Coturnix japonica: one gene and its partner. The protein of the gene in region 1 binds, or shares a complex with, the protein of each later gene. Links are inferred from orthologs where the notes say so. Each region holds a gene or a part of one and is shown on either strand. Other genes may lie near its edges.

The links. The genes of interacting proteins can lie anywhere in the genome.
Region 2: GTF2A1 (region 1) and POLR2C share a complex: the UniProt entries of both Homo sapiens proteins name them as parts of the TBP-based Pol II pre-initiation complex. The link is inferred for Coturnix japonica from reciprocal best matches to the Homo sapiens genes GTF2A1 and POLR2C.

Annotation. Positions count from the first base shown.
Region 1 is NC_029520.1:37,077,749-37,082,034, forward strand, and holds the start of GTF2A1 (transcription initiation factor IIA subunit 1), read right to left. Parts: upstream 2,934-4,286; 5' UTR 2,681-2,933; coding exon 2,651-2,680; intron 1-2,650. UniProt on the Homo sapiens protein: TFIIA is a component of the transcription machinery of RNA polymerase II and plays an important role in transcriptional activation. TFIIA in a complex with TBP mediates transcriptional activity.
Region 2 is NC_029526.1:1,904,320-1,906,765, reverse strand, and holds the end of POLR2C (DNA-directed RNA polymerase II subunit RPB3), read right to left. Parts: exon of another isoform or gene 1,753-2,446; coding exon 1,678-1,752; exon of another isoform or gene 1,187-1,677; intron 1,016-1,186; coding exon 871-1,015; 3' UTR 517-870; downstream 1-516. UniProt on the Homo sapiens protein: Core component of RNA polymerase II (Pol II), a DNA-dependent RNA polymerase which synthesizes mRNA precursors and many functional non-coding RNAs using the four ribonucleoside triphosphates as substrates.

The DNA of each region.
Region 1 (4,286 bases):
AGTTATCCCTGAAATGTTCCCCATCTGTTTCTCCTGTCTGTGGGAATACAGCTATGGGAGCTGTGTGACATGAGAATGCCACGCTGCAGAGGTAACTACTTTTAGTCACAATTACACCAAAGAAGAGTGAAAAAGAAGTAGCACATACAGGCTACACTGTAAGCAATTAAATGTGACACCTGTCACACCTTTACAAGGTAATTACCTTTGTCACCTACAAAACCTTATACCACATAAGGTATGTGCATCCCTTCCTGGGAAGGACAGATTTGATTAGATGCTGATGTCTTACTATGACACACCAGGTCCAAAATCTGCCCTGCTGAAGTTACCAGCTGGCTGCAGTACTTCCACACATTCTTGCTCATCTTCTGCAACTCTGAGGTACATATGGTTATCACTACTACAGAATAGAGCTGATTTTCAGAGTGCTGCAAAATTGTACCGTTTCCTTGGGATTCAACCTAAAATGGGAGTCAGGGTCATTTTAAGTTCCTATTATTCTTAACACTGTGATCAAACACAAGCACTTTTCAGCAGAAGTTGTGCTGTGCTAGGACAGAGATGCAGCACTGATAAGCCTCAGCAAGTTGTTATAACAAAGATATTTGTAAGTGCTAAGATGATTATTCAATAAAAAGATGTATTTACCTATTAGGTAATAACTTGGTAGAAAAAGAGACGTGAAACATCTAACTTACTGTAGAGACAAAGAACCCTTCCTGTCAGTTAAAGAAAGCCAGCAGGTCATGGGCAGAACAGCTAGCAGATTTGGATCACACACATTAAGTATCCTACCAGCAGCTGACCTGCATGCAATGGCACACTGCTGTCCCACATTTTGTTTCAGAACAGCTGATAAAATAGCAAAGCCATGCTACTTCCTTGCTTCTCATGTCTCCAGGTTACAGGTAAGATTTTGGATTTAGAAAGGAAACTCTGTATCATTTCCTTCTGTAAACTTCTCTGTAATACTCAGAACATTCTAATTAATTCAAATAATAGCAGAAATTCCAAAATCTTCCAAAATATCAGTGTGCCGCATCACCTTCAGTTACCAGAAGCACACAACAATCGTTCACACAATCTGTGCCCAGGACCAATAAACAGAACTTCAATATTAATGCTGCTTTCAGTATAAGATCTGTACCAGACACTGGCCAACTGCCATGAAACAAATCCTGCATCTCTCCTTGCCATGCTGGATAAGAACATCTAAATCCTCCTTTCCCCATCCAGCAGCAAAACAGCAAAACTCCATGGAAGACCATAAGGGTACAGAGAGCTGCATGCTGTGGACAAAAAAATACACACGCTAATAAATAAAAAAAGAAATGAAAAAAAAAAATTAAATTAAAAAAAAAAAAAGGGGGGGGGGGGTTGGGATGGGGGGGGAAGGTAAGCGTTTTCAGAAGGCTGGGAGGATGGCGGTGCCCTCTTCGTGCAAGGCACAGCCACCCAGCACCGAGAGCCGTGGGCAGTGCCGCTGCTCCCCGAGTGCGGAGCGAGGCAGGAGCACAAACCCGGCTCCGAGCGACAAAAAGCACGGCCGGCAGCCTCCGCCGCGATGCACGCACCTCCCAGCCCGCTCTCGGCGGCTCTCTCCCTATTTAAAGGCTGATGTGGTGTTTAAATGGAGAGGCGGTGACGTGGGGCTGGAAAGCACCTTCCCATCCTAGCAGAGTCTATATTAGAGAGCGGCAATGGCTCTATATAAACAGGGCGGCCGCAGGGAGGAGGAACACAAGGAGCGGGCAGGCAGAAAGGCAGGGGAAGCCATGATGGATCCGAGCGCCACAAGCAGGGCCGCGCCTGCCGCCGGACGCCGGGTTTGTGCCGCCGGCGCTCGGGGCGGGGGTCGGGGCCGGGGTTGCGCCGGGGACGGAGCGGAGACCGAGGGGCGATCGGATCGGCCGTGCGTGTGACTGCTTATTGCGAACCGGAGCGAGCCGTCCCGCAGCGAGCCGCCCGCCAAGGTGCAGAAAGCACGAGAAGGGACACAGGGGGGCGAGAGTTTTCTTTGTAAAATAAATACTGCCTCGCTCGCTGCAGAAAAGTTCCGGGCCGGGCCTGGCGGACCGCTGCCGCGGGGCTGGGACAAGTGCTTTTCAACCATCGTCTCTTTCCGATCGAGCAACATAAAATGGCTCCAGCGGAGCCCGGGCTGCCGCCGCCACCGCGGCCACCGCCACCCCGACACCCGGCTCGCTCCCGGTCGGGCGCGGGGCCGGCGGCGCTCGCTCCTTCCCGGGGCGGCTCCCCCCCCCCCCTCCCGACCCGCCCGCCCGCCCCTTCCCGCCGGACCCCGGCCCGCGGCGGGCGGCCCCGGCCTTTTCCCCGCGGGGCTCCGTCCGCCGCCCGCCCCCGGGCCGCCGCCCCGCGCCCCCCGTTCCGCTCCCGCCGCCCCACTCCCGCCGCCCCCGGCTGCGCTCTCCCCGCCCCGGCGTCGGGCGCCACAAGTTGTCTGCTGCTGCCGCCGCCGCGCGGGGAGCGGCCCGGACCCCGCCGCCCCTTCCCGCCGCGGGCCGGGGGGGAGGGGGCCGGGGCGGCCCGAGGGACGGGGGTGCGGGGGAGGGGGCGGCGAGCCCCGCCGGCCCCCTCCGCCCGCGCCGCCCGCGGGGTCCCCCTCGCCCCCCGGCCCGGTCCTTACCACGGGGTTTGTGTTAGTCGAGCTCGCCATGTCCCGAGCCCCCCGGGACGCCCCCAACCGCGGGGGGGGGAGTCGCCCCTAAAACAATAAACCTGCCCGGCTGCGTCCCCCCTAAGCCCGCACGTCCCGCCCGGGCTCACGGGCAGCCCCGCGGCCTGGCCCGGCCTCGTTCGCCGGCCCTGGGGCTGCAGCCGCCGCCGCCAGCCGCCCGCTCTGCCCGCTTCGCCCCTTTATATAGCGAGAGCCGAGCAGCTGCGCGAGCGGCCAGACCGAGCGGGGGACGCGCGCGGGGGGGCGGCCAGATACCGCGAGAGCAGCGAACGAGAGCGCGCCGCGCGGGGCGCCGTCACGTGAAGAGCCCGCCCCGCCGCCATGACACTTAGTGAGGCGGAAGTACACAGGGAGGTCGCTCTCCCGCTTGCCGCTCCGCCCGGCGTACCGAGGCGGAAGTCTTCGCGCTGTCCCGCCGGGCGCTGCGCCTCAGTCCGTCCCATCGTGCGACGCCCGCAATCACGGCGCTGCTGGGGGCGGCCCGCCTCTGCTCTGCGGCCCGGCCGGCTGCGATGAGCCCAGCGGGATGCTGCACACCGCGAGGCGGCAGCTCATAACGGCCCGGAGCGAGCCGGAGGCCAGCGAGGGACATGGGAACGCACATCGCGTCCGCTCGGTCTATAGGAGCGGTTTGCTCCTCGGTGTCAGCCCCTCACTGTGCAGTTCCAGGTACGCAAGAGCCCTGCCTGGCCCAGCAGGCGCTGGTACCTCTGGTCACAGGCCTTGAGCTGGCCCTGCTACAAGAGCCAGGTCCCGGAGTGTTCAAGCTCTTGTTACCTGGTCTGGTGACAGGAATCGTGGGCCCTCACTCTCAGAATTGCCTCTTCAGCAGTTCCTCACAAAATCTGTGGCACTGAGAATTCCTGGCTGTACCGTTTGGCTTGGCTTCCATTTTTGCCCTTTTAATTGCCTTTTCGTCCTTTTCCATTCCCTTTGCTTATCCCCTTTCTCCATGGCAATCTGCAAGATGCATGTAATACAGGAAAGCATTCTCAACTACGAGGATCCTTCCATCAGTTAACTTCCCTGCTGCCACCTTCACCAAGCCCTTAGGATAACTTCTGAATACAGCTTAGAGCTCCAGCAGTAACCCACCTGTATAAGACCTGCTCGAACATAAATTAAAAGCAACACTGAATTCCAGCTCTATGCTCAAGGTATTATGTTACATCAATCTCCACAGAAAACAAAAACAAACAACAATAAAAAACCCAACATGCCCTACAGACCATATTTGACACGTTACCTTCATTCAGAAGTCCCACCTACTAGCTAGACCAAGCAACATGTTTACAAACTCCTGTCTGGTAGCCTAAGACCAGAATTAATTTGTTAGTGGATACAGGAGACCTTCACATTCCATACTTCTAAATGCTTTAGTTCTGTGGTAGCGAGCACCTCCTTTCCCTTCTGACAGGCAGAGCTTTTATAGGCACGTGATTGATTTACAGTGGACCAGCTGATGAACCAGCTCCACTGTTCATGGCACATACTGCTGGAGCTCCAACAAAAATTACATGGGACAGAGTTTTACCATCCTCTGCTGTTAATTATACATTTCCTTCTTGGAATTTTCCACTGCCAC
Region 2 (2,446 bases), on another chromosome or scaffold:
TCTCTCAGCAAAGCAAGGAGCCTGTCCCACATCCTGGGTGCTGAGGAAGGGGAGAAGGGGTGACTGTGCAGCTCTTGGAGCCCTCTGGCCACTGCTTTGGTTAAGCACAGAGCCAGCTCAGCCCCTGCATGCTGCAAAGAGCTGCCAGCTGGGGGTTACCAGTGACAGACACTGCCCAGCCCCATGGCACACAGCACATGGGCAGAGTCTGCTCCAAAGGAGTCCTTAAACACAGCTAAGTCTCCCTGGCCCACCCTCCCTCCTGTGATGTGGCTCTTAGCAGCCCAGCCTTGAACATCTGCTTTAAACATAGTCCTGTCCCTGGCAGTTCCAGCACTACCTGCTGCAGGGGTTCTGGCACCCTCAGTAGATCACAGAGCTCAGTAGGTCAAGAGCAGCAATCAGCTGTTACAGAGCAACGCTCCCTCCAAAGCAGGCCTCATTAAGTTAATGTCTGTTGGAGGGAACTAAATGATGTGTTATCTCCTCCTGCAGCCCCAGATGAGCTTTCAGAGATGACTGAACACAGGCGTTAAGGCTTTATTCAGTACACTTAAGGAACAGACATACAAACAGGACAGGGTTGTGTAATTGAGGTACATGCTTCCCAGTCCCAAACACTACGTGACCACAGTCCAAAACTCGGATCAGAGACAAAGCCCACCCCCACCCAGCAAAGACTTTCCTCCTGCTTTACCCTACGTGTCATCATGGCTTTCTCTGGGAAGAGAAGTGCTACTAACGAGCAGATCTGCACCAGGAGAAGCAGAGGGAGATGAGGAGACAATCCCTCAGCCCCGAGTGCAGCCAGGCAGAGGCAGGAACCTTCTGCATCACTCCTGCCTGGACAATCTCCTGCAAAGGGCCACCTCAGTTTATAGTGAGCACATCACTCTGGATCTCATGGCTCAGCTGGGTCTGGAGGTCACTCAGCTTCTTCTTCAGGCCAGACAGTGCAGAGAGAACGATGGTTTCGGGGCGCAAAGAGCCACAAGATTCCACGTTGTAATAAAACCTGAGGTTACAAGTCAGGGAGAAAGTTACCAAGTGTTCTGTGAGGAGGTACAAAACCAGAGAGCACCCACACAGCAGCTCTAACCCACCAGGACCCACTGCAGGGAGATGCTGAGCTCCCCTCTGGGCATGAGCCAGCACTGCCCTGCTACAACAGCAGCCACAGACTCCCATGGAGCTCATAGCAGCCCTCACGACCCTCCAAAATGCAAGAGCCCTTGTGAGGCTTTCTCTGCTCAGCTATGTGATGTGAAAGCTGCACGGGGAAGCTAAGACTGGCTGTCTGGCTGCAGGCACTCCTGCAACACATTATCACCTGGTAGAGAGGGCAGCAGCAGCAATCAGAGCATGAGAGACTCACGTGGGTGAATAATACTGCTGATGACATCAGTGTCTTCAGCATCACCCTAAGCCATCTCTCCAAGACACTTGACCAAATATTGCAGTGCCCTACCTGGTAACAGGAACTCTGAAGAGTCACCCAGAGGGCAAAACCTGCCAGGCCTGGGCACATCACCAGTTAATTGCAACTCCTGCCTTGCTTTCCAGGGAGCAGCAGCTCTCTGCGCTGGTGCAGCACATCCAACTCACACCAACAGCAAACGCAGTGCACCCAGCTCCATCCCCCTCCTCCCAGCAGTGGGAGCACATCCAGCTTCCTACCTCTCGGGCTTCCCATTGGGGTCATATGGAGCCTGAGCATCCTCCTCATCGATCTCTGAGTATTCACTCTTGGGCCTGGAATGAGAGCAGGGAAGGTCAGCACTGGATCAAATCATGGAAAAAAAGTTCACATTAATGTAGCCCTTTCTATTTCCTCCACCTTGAGCAGCCTGAGAAGCCAGCATAGAAAACTCCATGCCCACCACAGTCTCCTGCCAGCCTCCCTCAGACCCAATGAGACCAAGATCATCGTGTCCTGTCACCAGTGGTCCTCAATAAAACTGCATTTTCCAACAAAACCTTCCACCTGCAACAAATATATAGCATTCATGAGCCTTCATGTTACTTGCCACGCTGTCCATTACTGAAAACAGGGCAGAGACTGAACCTTGTTTCACCATGACGTCTGCTTTGAGAGTCCAGCTGCATTCCAGCACTCTGCCAGCAGCCTCAAAACTAAAACCAAAACAATAACTATCCTTGGATAGCAGAGACATCTGTCTCTGTATTGTCTTCACTAGAAGCAAGATGAACTTGGAAAGAAACCCATTATCATCAGGGAACACACAGCTCCAACAGCAATCACCACTTCTTTAGGTCCTTCTAACTCTGACACTGATTTTGTCAAGAATCTCTCCAGGGCTGTTTCCAGGTACTGCACACAACAGCAGGCTCATGAGGATGCAGCCCAGTCTGCCACCAAAGGAATCTGCATCAGCGCTGCCTTGGGCCACCCAGACATGTAAAGCCTCACCACAGAGGGACGCAG